2 linked regions of the Tamandua tetradactyla genome follow. The protein of the gene in region 1 purifies or fractionates together with the protein of each later gene. This does not show direct contact. Links are inferred from orthologs where the notes say so. Each region holds a gene or a part of one and is shown in the gene's direction. Other genes may lie near its edges.

The links. The genes of interacting proteins can lie anywhere in the genome.
Region 2: the proteins of SGK2 (region 1) and HSP90AB1 purify together in Homo sapiens (affinity purification with mass spectrometry; 3 studies listed by BioGRID and IntAct, with this or other methods). This does not show direct contact. The link is inferred for Tamandua tetradactyla from reciprocal best matches to the Homo sapiens genes SGK2 and HSP90AB1.

What each region holds. Positions count from the first base shown.
Region 1 is NC_135327.1:8,600,037-8,607,203, reverse strand, and holds the start of SGK2 (serine/threonine-protein kinase Sgk2), read left to right. Parts: upstream 1-4,138; 5' UTR 4,139-4,249; intron 4,250-7,167. UniProt on the Homo sapiens protein: Serine/threonine-protein kinase which is involved in the regulation of a wide variety of ion channels, membrane transporters, cell growth, survival and proliferation.
Region 2 is NC_135331.1:101,858,314-101,865,249, forward strand, and holds the start of HSP90AB1 (heat shock protein HSP 90-beta), read left to right. Parts: upstream 1-3,899; 5' UTR 3,900-4,031; intron 4,032-4,713; exon of another isoform or gene 4,714-4,819; intron 4,820-5,531; coding exon 5,532-5,678; intron 5,679-6,030; coding exon 6,031-6,237; intron 6,238-6,523; coding exon 6,524-6,683; intron 6,684-6,800; coding exon 6,801-6,934; intron 6,935-6,936. UniProt on the Homo sapiens protein: Molecular chaperone that promotes the maturation, structural maintenance and proper regulation of specific target proteins involved for instance in cell cycle control and signal transduction. Undergoes a functional cycle linked to its ATPase activity.

The sequences.
Region 1 (7,167 bases):
AAGTGGGTACACTTGTCTGGATTGAGAAGTGTCGATAATGGGAGTCCCCAGAGAAGACTGTGAAAACCAGCTTGATCCTTGACATCTTAATAAATGGTCAAGGCCGGAATATTCAATGAAGTTTCCCGTTTTTAAAATAATCCCAAATTTTCTGGCAGGGAAATGGCCAAGTTGAATGGATAGAACTTCTGAAGGTTCCTAGAGTTTGTAAGGAGATGGAAAAGTGACAGAAATGCCACATTTGACCACTTCAGCCACTTTTTTTGGTCAATACCCTTAATTGCTTTGTCCTGCTGCCTTTCTAGACTACTTGGCTAGAAGATTACCCCCCGTGGGGCTGTCCACAAGCCCATCTTCTCCACACCTTGACCTGCTGCTTAGGCTGAGCAGATTGGGGCTGTGTAGATGAATAGTCTCTAGCTTCAATGTGAACCCTCACGGTTGCCCAGAAAGTAGCTATTTTTTGGGTCAGCACTGACTCTTCTGTTCAGGCTCCTCAAACCTCCTACCCACATGCCTCCCCCATCATTTCTATAGATGCCCTCCCACCTATGCCACAAAGAAAATGGAACTCATCAGAAGGGTGGCTTCCTAACACATCTGCAAAGTCCATTCCCACCCACATCCACCCTTCCCTCTTTCCTTCTGTTTACAGTGGGAGAGTTTACCCTTCTACTTGACAGAAGCTAACCTCTACCAGCCATGTCAGATATATGAAAAAGGAGCACTGAGAGACAAGAAAGGGCTCTTGGGAATTTAAAATATGGTTGCAGAATAAAATCAACACAGGGATTGAAAGATAAAGTTAAGGATATCCCATAGAAGTAGGATAAAAAAGATAAAAAATGGGAAAGAATGGTTATGAAAACCTCAAGGACGAGTTTGGAGGTCCAGTATACAACTAGCAGGAATTCTTAATAAGAAAGAAAATCAAGGTCAAAATTAACTTTTTTGAAAAAAAGAAATTTCACAAAATTGAGGGACACTGTTCTCCAAACTGAAAGGTCATGGAAAGTGCCCAGCACGATGGATGTGAAAGGAATCACACCCAGTTATATTACTGTGAAATGTCAGAAAAATCAGAAAATGAAAATCCTGAAAGCTTCCAGACAGAAGAAATCAGGTCTCATCCAAAAGAACATGAATCAGAATAGCACTGGACTTCCCAGTAGCAGCACTGTGATAAAAAGACGATGGAACACTGCCTTAATAATTCTGAAGGAAAAGATATTTCCACCCGAGAATTCTGTACCCAGCCAAATTATCAAGTGTGAAGGTAGAATATTTAAAAACATAAAAGGTCTCAAAAATTTATCTCCCAAAAAAAAAAAAAAGTTATCTCCCGTGCACCTTTCCTCAGGCAGCTATTGGAGGATCCGCTCCACCAAAATAAGAGAGCAAATTTAAAAAAAAGAGGAAGACATAGGATCCCGGAACCTGGAGATGCAACAAAGACAGAGAAAGGGAATTTCTAGTGTGATGGGGCAAAGAAGGGCCAGGCTAATACCTGGCCAGGGCAGATGAAAATAGGATGGAAGACTCCAGGAAGGACAAAAACAGAATGGACACATAATACAGTAAGAGGCTATTTTTAGCTCTACCAGAGCATTTATGTAGATATCAAACCATTAAATGAGGCAGTTATTAATTAAAAGCAAAAGTTTAAACAAGTGTGTGTGTGGATGGGCTAGACGTAAATGCCCATGTTCTATAGTAGGAAGCCACTTTCAGTTTTAAAATGGAAAGATCAAAAAAAAAATAATAAAAAAAAGTTTATAAAAGAAAAAAAAAAAAGGAAAGATCAAGGAATGTAGTGGAATCATGCTGTTTAGACATTTGGAAATGTTACCAAAGGAAACAGCTAGAAGAGTTGAAGAATGGAGCAAGGAACTGATCCTTTTCACTCTCTACCTGGTAATCCTATTTCATTTTTAAAATTTTGTAACTTGGCACTTTCTAAAAACAATCTACCTTTTTTTTTTCAAAAAGAAAATTGGAGACCTGTGTCTGGACCCAAGCCTGTGCTACTCCAGCCCATGTGAGTAACAGATTTTTCTCTACTGACCCTGTACCTGGTGCTCCCTCTGCTATGGATGAATCTGCAGGTATGGAAGGCATGGGCAGGTGGGAGTAGGGATGAGAGCCAGATAATGGATGGAAAAGGAGGCCGAGGAATGTCAAGGTGGAAGGAATATTCATGGAGGTGGGTTCCTATTGGTTCAGTCTCTTGCTATCCCCTTCCCATCCCTGAGAACATTTCTTCAACCTTCATAACCAAACAACAGAACCCAGCCAGTTGAGAGAGGAGGAGGCAGGGAGAAGGGTAAAGAAAGAAAGAAGAGAGGAAGTTGGGCAGGGGTGGCATTTCTGCAGTGGTTTCATTGCAAGAGTCGCATAGCCATTTCCTGAGCATCGTTGAGGGGAAGGCCAAACCCTGGTGGTAGCCATGTCAATGGTACACATTTTTAGAGAGTGACAAAATTAACTCAGCACTCCCACTTACAGGAGTTTATCAGAACTATTAGCGCAAGGACCCACAGGTATTAATGTGAAGATGTTCTCTGCAGCACTGGTTGAAGTATTGTGGAACTGGAAACAGCCTCAGTGTCCGTCAGCTGAGGAACAGCAGAAGCAATCACAGTAAGTCCAACACTATGGAATATGATGCAGCAGCTGAAAAAAAATTTGAATCTGTGTGTTGACATGGAAAGATGTGTTAAAATGAGAAAAAGTGAGTTACTGAACAATATGTATAGTGTGGCTCATTTTCCTAGAAAAGAAAGTATGTGAATTAGGTATAGACAAAAGTCTACAAGAATAGTCACCACTTAGTTAACAGCAGTTACTTCTGGAAAAGAGATTGAAGGTGGATTGGGGAGAAATTTCACCTTTTATTTCACAATCTTCTGTATGTTGGAATTATTTGATACCGATTATAAGATACCATTGTGTGTATGTTGTGTGTATTTAAACCAGTTTTGGGAATGCAGAGGCAGAGGAGCTTGGTGCAGCTAGCAGCTCTGAAAAGGATCCGAACCCAGGGCTGTACCCTCATTTGCCCTGTGCACTTGGGCCAGCCACCTCCCCTCTCAGCCTGGGGCTAGACGCATTTTGCTAGGGTTGGTGGAGGTAGGAGGTGTGGCAATGCATCTCTCCCAAGAGCACATTAAATCAGCCAGTTTTTTAAGGCACTAGAATGATCAGAAAGTTGTTGAAATGTTAATGGAAAGGCAGCAGAGAAAGTAGTGTGAAAGTCAACTTCTGAGTTGCCCACTAAAAGGGGATCATTGAGCAATGTCTTTCTCATCTATCTTTCAGACCAGACCCTGCATCTACCCTAAGTTAGAACCCTTGGTCTGGGCAGATTTGGGTCAACCATGAAAAAGCCTGCCTTCCGTATGAGCTGGAAAGAGCTGAGCCCTGGTTCCTGAGTGTCAGGTCTCCGAATGACACAATGGGAAGTGGATCTAGACTCAGCAATGAGTCTTTACCTAGGGGAGTGCAAAGCAGGAGAGCTCTGGATGGCAGGCTTTGACTCAAAACAAAACAAAAAAAAAGCAGAGACCTACCAGAGATGTCAGGCAATGGGGCAGGCTCAAGAGAGAATGAGCTGCCCATCTCTGAAGGGACAACAAAAGAGAACGTGTCCAAGAACAGGCCCCCATCAGGGAGAGACCAGGGAAGAGAGCTGGGTGAGATGAACCCTCTCAGGTCTCTTGGTTTTATGAAAAAGGGAAAATGATTTAATTCCTGCAGTTAAGGTAGTCAGCCTTTGAGCTTGGGGAAGGATTTCAGAGAATGGAAACACATGACAGCATTGAAAGGGACCTCAGAGATCCTCCTTTTAAGGCAGGAGACACACCATCATCACCAATTCACTTGAGGCTCAGGGACCCAAGTCACTTGCCCAAGGTCACAAAACTTATGTTGTGCAGTAGCTTTAAAATATCCGAAGGGTCCCCAGGGCAGGGCCCTTCTAGGAGCCATTGGGCGCAGCCAGCGTTGTAATTTCAAGTCCAGCCGTTAATTAGTAACTGGAAGGCTCCGAAGCCAGCTCCCAGCCAGCAGGACTGGAAGAGAGAGGTGGAAGCCAGGTTGGGAAGTGAGTGACAGGTCATTCTTAAGTGCGAAGGTTGCTGGAGAAGTCAGGATTGGGTTTCAGGTCAGAAGGACCATGCAGAGACAGAGGAGGGCAGAGCCATGCTTGGGGCTTCTCCACAGGACCTGAGCTGGGACCCAGAGTTTTCAGGTAAGAGGCTCAGCTGTGAACAGGACACCTGCCAGCTGGCATGTCAGTCTGCCAAACTGACTACTTGGTCAGCTAACTTCTTCCTGACTCTCTCCCTTCTAACTCCTTTCTGTTCTCTCCATGCCTTTTCTCCCAACTAATTAACTTTCTGCCTTTCCAGTTACTTAATTTGCTTCCTTCCGAACTAACCAACTTAACAGCTTCTCTTCCTTCCCACTAATTTCATTCCATCCTAACTTCTTCCTGAAATTCTAGGCCACAGGCTTTGGAGTAAGACTGCCTGGGTTCGAATTCCTGTTATATCATTTATTAGCTATTTGTCTTGATCAAGTCACTTCACCTCTCCAAGCCTCAGTTTACTCCTCTTAAAAAGAGGGTTAATGACAGTGCCTATCCCATGGGGTATAGGATTAAAATAAGATCTTGCTGGCACTTGACTTGGCAGGCAGTGGTAGGCACTGGGTGCCAGCATGTATGTAAATGAATTATCATAGCATGATGGCAAGTACAAAAGAAGCGAGTTCAAAGATGGGAGCAAGGGTACATGGGATCTGGAGCTGCTCTGGCAAGGGTTCCAGGAAAGCAAATGAGGACAGATGGAAAGGGCTAGCCAAGTAGACCAAACTGATTGGGGAAGTGTTCTAAGGAGAGCACTGTGTGACATCCCAGCCAGCAAGTCCAGTTTGATGTAAGCAGGTCTTTGTAGTGAAGGGGAGAGGGATGCAAATCTAGGCTGAGGCAAGTTAGGGGGAGGAGCAGCCTTGAGGGCTCTTGGAGGGGCTTGAAATTTCCCCTGGGAGGTCACAGGGTCCTCTACAGGTTGGAAGAGTCAGGGGAAGGTGTTGATGCCCCACTCCTGTCCAGGAAATCACAAGACAGTGGTGCAGGAGAGATAAGCCTTAGGCACTGAGAGATGGCTCAGGTATGGGGGTCATAGTCAAGGTGATGAGGTAGAGTTGGTGGTGAGCATTGGCTACGTCAAAGTTCCCATCCAGTCTTAGTATATTTCCTGAATAGCAACATCTTGAGACATTTCATACCATAGTAGAAAGATAAAAATGAAAATAAGCTAACCTAAGATACGTGCTGTCACCTCAGGTCATGATCCCCCTGCCATTTTTTCTGTGCTTATACACAAATGTACAGTTGCATGCATGTCTTTTTTTCTTTTACAAGATGGTACCCTGGCATACTTACCATTTTGAAAGCTGCTTGTTTACTTCACAGTGTATCATATATGTGTTCCCGTTTCTACTAATATAGGCTCACGCATCACTTTTGGTTGGGTAATATTTTATTGTATAAATGTACCATAATTATCAATTCATCCTTTGATTCATTAATCAAATATGTACTGAGCACCTACTATATTCCAGGCCCTGTTCTATAATGGTGAAGAAAGACCCTGCCCTCATGAAGCTGACATTCTAGTTGAGGGAGATAGAAAATGAGCACATAATTTTCACCTGCATGATAAGGTGTCAGAGAGTGATAGGTGGTGCAGTGATTCCCACATCCTGGGGAAAAAACCCTCAGTCACAGAGAAACCAGGATGGTTGGTTCCCTGTAATCAGAAAAGACCCCTCTGAAGAGATGACATTTGAGCAGAGACCTCACTGGTGTGTCAGTGGAAGCCAGCCACGCAGATGTCTGGGGAAAAAGCATTCTAGGTAGAGGGGGAGATAAGTGCAAGGGGCTGGAGTCTAGAGGGCAGCAAGTGTATTTGAGGGATAGCAAGAAAGCCAGGGTGGCTGGTGTGCAGTAAGGGTGAGAGCAGTGGAGGACAAGGCAGACACAGAGAGAGGTCACATGGAAATCTCCTACACTGCGGAAAAGACTGGATTTAATTCTAGGTGTGATGAGAAGTCCCTGGAGTGTTTTGAGCAGCAAAGTCATATGATCTGAGTTACATTTTAAAAGACTCCCTTTGGCTTAATTGCAGAGAGATTATAAGGGATAAAGGTAGAAGCAGGGAGGCAGTGATATGTTAGTTTCCTGTGGCTGCTGTAACAAATTACCACAAACTCGGTGCCTTAAAACAGAAATTTATTCTCTCACAATTCTGGAGACCAGAAGCCTGAAATCATTTTTGCTGGGCAGAAATCAGGGTGTCGGCAGGGGCTGCACTCCCTCCAGAGTCCAATCTGTAGGGCACTTCAGCACATCTTCACGTCCTGCTGCATCACTCCCATCTCTGCCTCCAAGGCCACCTTGACTTCTCCTTTTCTGTCTGTCAGCTCTCCCTCTGCCTGTCTCTATAAGGCCACTGTGATTGCATTTCAGGTCCGCCCTATTAATCCAAGATAATATCCCCTTCTCAATCATAATCATAATCAGATCTGCAAAGTCCTTTTTTTTTTTTTTACCAAATACAGTAACAAGCACAGGTTTCTGGTATTAAAGTGTGGATCTCTTTTTTTATTTGGGGGGGGCATTATCCTATTTACCACATATAGGGATATTATTGCAATAATGTATGCAAGTGATGATGTTAGCTCATATGCAAGTGATGGTGTTAGCTCAGGCAGGCAGGCTGTAGTAGGTTTAATGAACAGCCGTGGTTTCTGGATATATTCTGAAGGTAAAGTTTAATGGGATATCATAATGGCATGGAAGTGGGATAATAGGAGAAGCAAGATCTCTAGGATGGGTCCCGAGTTGCTGGTTTGAACCTTTGAGTGGGTGGTGGTGCCACTTCCCAAGACTGGGAGGACTGAGGGAGGAACAAGCTGGGGCCAACTGGGGGAAATTGAGCCAGGTGTTTGGATATGTAGACATCTAAGTAGTGAATTGTCAAGGAGTAGCATTTGGGTATGTGAGTACAGAGTTCAGGAGAGGATCAGAACTAGAGAGGGAAACTTGGAAATTGTCAATTATAGGTGTATTTAAAGCCACTAAATAGGTTGACATCACCTAAG
Region 2 (6,936 bases), on another chromosome or scaffold:
GAGGCCCCAGGCAGCTTGGACAGTGACAGGATATAGTGGGTGGGTGCCAAGCTTGAGAAGTCACTGGCTCTGGGGATTAAGGGGCGAGAGCTGCCATCTTGATGCCCTGGGTAGTTTCATCCACCCATTTTACCTTATCTCAGGATGCTCCCCTGCAGCTGCGTGACAATTTCCAGTTGAGCAGCAGCAGTAGGCCTCAGCCCAGGCTGAGTCTCCATGCCTCCTGCCAGACTTCACTTGGATTTATCTAGAACAAACTTTTACCTAGTTCTGCAATGTTGTTCCCTACAGGGTGACATAAGCACTCCTTTAGGCTTTGGAGGCCTACAGTCTCTATCAGGACTACTGAGCTTCACTGTTAAAGCATCAAAGCAGTCATAGACAATACGTAAACAAATGAGTGTGGTTGTATGTCAATAAAAGTATTTATGGACTCTGAAATCTGAATTTTCACGGCAAACATATTATTTTGCTGTAGGGTGTGGTAGTTAGGTTCAGATGTCAACTTGGCCAGGTGAACGTGCCTAGTTCTGCTGCTGCGGACATGAGCCAATGGTACCCACATCTGTTACTCATTACATCTGCAGTCGGCTAGGAGGCGTGCCTACTGCAGTGAATGATGTTTGATTTACTTGGTTGGTGCTTAAATGAGAGAGCTCAACGTAGCACAGCCCAAGCAGCTCAGCATACCTCATCTCGGCACTCGCAGCTCAGCTCAGTTCAGGCCTTTGGATATGCAGAAAGAAAGCATCCTGGGGAAAGTTGTTGGAACCCAGAGGCCTGGAGAGAAGGCCAGCAGAGATTACCCTAAGCCTTTCCATGTAAGAAAGAACCTCAGATGAAAGTTAGCTGCCTTTCCTCTGAAGAATTAATGAAATAAACCCCCTTTTATTAAAAGCCAATCCATTTCTGGTGTGTTGCATTCTGTCAGCTAGCAAACTAGAACATAAGGGTACAGGGATAGTTCAGCGGTAGAATTCTTGACTCAGGTTTGATTCCCAGCACATGCACTTCCTAAAACAAACAAGCAAGCAAACAAATAAACAAAAATTCAACAAATGGTGCTGCAATAACAGGATATTCACATGGAAAAAGAATGAAATGTGACCCCGCCATACAGCATACAAATTGAAATACATATACATATATAATTTTGGTTTTTATACAACCATTTTAAAATATAAACACCATTCTTAGCTCATAGGCTGTACAAAAACAAGAAGGCTCACAGCCTGCCAGCCATAGCATGTGGACCCCTGCTGTAGCCGGCCGCCCTCCAACAGCAGAAGACTGATCTAGGCCTCTGAGGCCTGACCAGGAACAGAGGGCATTGGAAGCTGACATCATCCTGGGTCCATTGCACATTGCATAAGGGAATAAGGCTTTCAGAGACCCCAAGTAATTTTAAGGCCCTATAATTCTCTAAATGTCTTTTCTCATCCTTAAACTCATCTCAGCACTCCTTAACCCAGCGTTTGCAGGCCATTGTGACCTGACCCCTGCCTACAGAGCCACTTGTGGCTCCTCCCTCATCACGGTCCCTTTAACAGGACTCTGCCTTTCTATGCTCTATGTCTCCTAGGAGTAGACCTATGCCATGGCATGGCTAGCTATTACTGTTGAACATGTCTCTTTCCCAGACTGAGCTGGGGGACTCTACTGCTCATCCATGCCCCTTCACATATGGCCTGCTGCAGCAACCCCACTGGGCAGGGTGCTCCTTGTCCTCCTATCATTGTTATCTGTGCATTCCCAGGTGAGGCTTACAGTGGTGGCTCAATGACTGTTAAGTAAATGGGGATGACAATTGGAAGCCATCCTGGAATACTCCCTGGAGAAGGTGGAGTTTCTGTGCTGGTGCAAGATTTGAGATATTCCCGTTTGGGGGAAGTCCTGGAGGGGGCTTCCATCCCGACACTGCTGGAAGTAGGAGTGGGTAGGGGGGTGGGTGTCCAGCTCAGGGAATGCCCATCCATGGGGGCAACTCCCGGTTAGTTTTTGACTTGGGTTCCCAGATACAGCATTCTCCACCCCTTTTTGGAGGAGGGAAGAGTTGGTGGAGTAAGGGCTCTGAGCTTCAGTGAAGTCTCTGAAGCCTCTAGTCCCCATACATAGAATGGTGCAGTTACTTTACCTCCTTGAGAGATACTGTGAATGCTGACAACCACGGAGATTTTTAATAAGCAGGGTCCCTCTGCCCAAGGGAGAGATGTGCTGAGGGATGATGCTCTTCATTTTGTATTTTCATCAGGAAAGCAGTGCCCATGCCCCCCCCCCCCCAATAGATCACAGGCTTCTAAGGAAGGGGAGTAGAAGGGCAAGAAGAGATGAAATAACAGTGGCTGCGGCAAGGATTCAAAGGAGGAGGTGGGACAAGATAGAGTTAAGCAGCAGTTTTTCTCATTTTGGAATGCAACAAAGGAACTAGGAACTGGAAGGAAGATGGGACGCCAGGGCTGGGGAGGTAGGAGGATCTTGCAAGTGGTGATGGGGTACACCACCCCCAACATTCCAGGGGTGGACTAAGAAGGCTGGGAAAGGAATTCCGGGCATTTACAGAGAACAGAGCAGGGAAGGGCTGTTCTCACATGGAAGGGCTGTGGGTCCAGCAGGCTCCCCAGAGCTTGCCAGTGGGAAGAGCAGGCAAAGGGGACAACACCAGGCGAGGTATGGCGGTCCGCAGGCTGCTGGGCAGGCGGACAACCTGGGAGCTCCGGGACCGCAGCTGAAGAGCAACAATTTGGTTTAGGCCGCCTGAGTGGGCCAGTGGCCTGCATCTTCTTGCGGCCTCCCAGGAGTCCCCGGAGACCCCACCCTTAAGTCCAGACAACTGCAGAAAGAGGCGAGAAGACTCAAGAAAAAAAAAAGAAAGGAAGAAAGAAACCAGTCTGCAAAACACTCGGACATGCCCGGATAGAGGACGCAGGTTGCTACGCCCCGCGCACGTGGGCGGATGCAGGGGCTGTGGCGGCCGGGAAGGGTCCCTTAGATTGGGAGCGGCTCCGACAGCCTGTGTCGTCTGAGTGCTTGGGGGAGGACAGGTACCAATCACTTCCTTCACGCTCCACCCCACCCACGTGGCAATACAGGGCCCGCTGGGTCCGGGCAATGGAGAAGAGGATCCCGCCTGTAGGGGACCTCCACGCCCCGCCGTGAGGTCCAGCAGAGCAGCCTGCAGAGCGCGACGATCTAGAAAGACACCGCTCCAGCCAGAGCCGGCGGGGTGGAGCCTCGAGGGGAAGGGGTGGGGCCATCGAGAGGAGCCTGGAAACTGCTGGAAGAATCGCAGCACTACTATCGCCGCTCCTTCCGCTGCGCACCGGCAAAGAGTGCCTTGCTTGTGTGAGCCGGCCCCTCCCCCACGGAGCCCCGCCCGCGGCAAGTCGGGTCTTTCCGCTCGTCCGCAGGAGGGCCGGGCAAGGGAAGGCGGTGTGTTCAAAGTTGCATCTCGAGTTCTCGGTCCTCAGAGAAAACCCACTTACCCTGTCGGGATGTGTAAGGCAGATTCTAAGAGAGAGGTCGGGGCTGGGAGTGGCGGTTGAGGTAGTTAGCTGTCTCTGCCTCTGCTGCCCAGCGAATAATTCGCTTTACAAGGAGTATGCCTACCTACAGGTGTGCCCAAAGTTGGTCTGTAGGGGGCGCCCTCCAGATGCACAGTTTAGGCCAATTGAGCATTCCCAATATTTAATCCTGAGGGTGGGTCGGCCCTGGAGCTACAGGAATGGGGCTGTGAACACAAGTAAAAGTGCAACGGATTTGTATTCTGAGACTAAGCACGCGCCCCCTGTCCTATTTTGGCCCATGACGTCAAGGTGGGCGGGCGGCTGCAGGTACGCGGCTGACGGACATCCTCCTTTAAGGCGGAGGGATCCGGGGACAGGCGGCAGTGCTGTGCTTCGCCTTACATAAAGCTGCTGGGGGCGCCCAGCCGCTCTCTTGAGTCACCCCCACGCAGCTTATATCTTGCGTGTGAGTCGGACACCGTCCCTGCCCGCTGTGCTCCCTGGTACTTGCTGCTCGCTCTCTTCAAGGTAAGGTTGGGGTCTCGTACTCCAGGCTTTTCAATCGCAAGCACTTCGAGTTTTCATCGTTTTTGGCATTTTTAAATCTTAGAATTATTTGTGGCAGCCTTGAGGTTTGGCTCCTCGTAATTTCTCTCGGAGTGGCCGAGGTTTCTACAGTTTTCCCTGTCATTTCCCTTGTACTTTGGTGGTGGGGCTTCCCTGGGTGGCGAATAGCCATGGGCTCAGTGGGCCGCGGATTGGGACCAGGGTGGTGGGCACCCAGCCGCACGTGGTGGCCGCGCCGTCCAGGGACGCTGCCATGTTGGTCCCTCCACTTCCGGACGCGACTCCAAGGTGCTGGAGGGGTCGGTAAGAGGTGTGGGTGTGCGTGTTAAGAATGACTCAGCACATCCAGGTGTTGCTACCTGTACTTTAGGACGCACTTGTCCTGAAGGGCTTTGGTCAAAGGGTTCGCGACGGGAAAGAACACTTGCAGATTTTTGAGGTCCGTCGTACTTAGTTTCCTGATTCCAGATCTTTCCTGCGTCTCGCGGCGGAGGCCGGGGGTGGATGTGAATTAAAGAGAGGGATTGGGGCAGACTGGAAGATCCATTGGCTCCCTCTGCTCTTCGAGAGGTGGGATTGTTCTGGAAGCTTCTGGAAGCCGGCGCCCCGCCCCGTTGTCTGGATGCTGGGGCGAAGGGAGGCTGCGCGGCGGCGCCCCCTCCTCGTGTGGCCCGGGCCGGCGCATGTCCGGCAGTGACGAGGGTCGGCCCGGCGAGTTGCGGCCACCATCTTAATTGTGCTTGGCTCAGGTACCTGTGCTTAAAGATCACGGGGCTTTAACCTCGGCTCTTTGTTTCTGATTTGCCTCTCATCAGTCCCCCATGGAGAGTGCTCCATAGTTCCTCAGGGGTTGACTTCCCCGCCTTGTGGGCAGCTGTCCTAGTCCCGGGTGAATCCATATGCTGACGACTCGAGATAATACCTCATGGGAAGCAGTTTCCAATCAACGTCGTTTTAGCTTTAATCTAGTCATACTGTTATTTTTTTTCTGCCACAGAAAGGGTAATAGTGATTTTGGGCGTTTAGGTATCCGTAAAGATTACTTGTGTTTCTTATTAGAGTCTAGAGGGTCTGGGGTGGTACCCTGTTTTGTATTTCTAACAAACCACCAGGTAATGCTGAAGCTGCTAATGTTTGGACCACTTACTGAGGAGCTGGGTTCTTAAAACATGTCTTTAAAGAAATTGTACATCTTGTTAAAGGATGCTTGTTTATTTTTTTTCCTGGATTGGCTACTCATGGTGCTGCTTGGTCTTTATGAAGGGCTTCTCTAGACCCTTGGAAATGGATAGGACTCCGTGCTGAGACGGTTGTATAAGTCAAATTTTGTTTACATAAAATCTTAAACAATTGAAAAGTGAATCTCTAAAGATTGCCTATAATGGGTCCAAGCATGCGCTGTTTTATTTCCAAGGACAACATGAATATGTTCTTTCTAATTCTGGATCATTCTTACTGCAGATGCCGGAGGAAGTGCACCATGGAGAGGAAGAGGTGGAGACTTTTGCCTTCCAGGCAGAAATTGCCCAGCTTATGTCTCTTATCATCAATACCTTCTATTCTAACAAGGAAATTTTCCTTCGGGAGTTGATCTCTAATGCTTCTGATGTGAGTGCTCTGGATTTGGTGTTTTCTTTCCTTTTAGCATCCCAGAAAACGAAGGAAGGCAGTGGTTTAACATTTGGTGGGGGCTACTGTTGAATGGGATACACCAGCAGGTTTTGGAAAAAGGTTTGCCCTGTGGACCGTCTTTAGTTTGAAAGAAAAGGGAGGGCTTAGGGTCTCTAAGGGACTACCTTGGGGGTAGAGTTAGTAAATAATCTGTGGTTTTTAAGCTTCAAGGTAAGTGGCAATCAGAATTGATGGTGTTTTGGGAGTAGAAAACTAAAGGGTTTCCTTTTGGATGAAGAGGAGAGTTTTAAGAACAGAATCTTAAAGTCACTACTCTGATTATTTTTAGGCTTTGGACAAGATTCGTTATGAGAGCCTGACAGACCCCTCCAAGTTGGACAGTGGTAAAGAGTTGAAAATTGACATCATCCCCAACCCCCAGGAACGTACCCTGACTCTCGTGGATACAGGCATTGGCATGACTAAGGCTGATCTCATAAATAATTTGGGAACCATTGCCAAGTCTGGTACCAAAGCATTTATGGAGGCACTGCAGGTATGGGACATTACATCAGGGCGTACACTTTTTTTTTCCTTCATGTGTATGTATTTCTATATTTATACATATGTGTAGAGAGGCAAATATGTATACTATAGGGGGTTTGTTTACAGCATGGTTTTTTGTGCGTGGGCCAGAAATTGAACCCGGGTCTCCTGCATGGCAGGTGAGAACTCTAACACTGAACCTACCCATGCATCCCTCCACCATTACATTTTGAAATGTTTCCTGGCTTCTTTCGTTTTAAACTGGTGTTTGACTTTAAAACATTCTTTTTTGGCAGGCTGGTGCAGACATCTCCATGATTGGGCAATTTGGTGTTGGCTTCTATTCTGCCTACTTGGTGGCAGAGAAAGTGGTTGTGATCACAAAGCACAATGATGATGAACAGTATGCTTGGGAGTCTTCCGCTGGGGGTTCTTTCACTGTTCGTGCTGACCATGGTAAGTTGACTGGGTTAGAATTCTTTGGGGATACCTTCTAGGTAAAGCAGTTTTTTTTTCAGTACATTTCTTCAATTAGTCTCAACTATTTATACCCCACTGTGATTGACTTTCTAGGGGAGCCTATTGGCCGGGGTACCAAAGTGATCTTGCACCTTAAAGAAGACCAGACTGAGTACTTAGAGGAGAGGCGGGTCAAAGAAGTGGTGAAGAAGCACTCACAGTTCATAGGCTACCCCATCACCCTTTATGT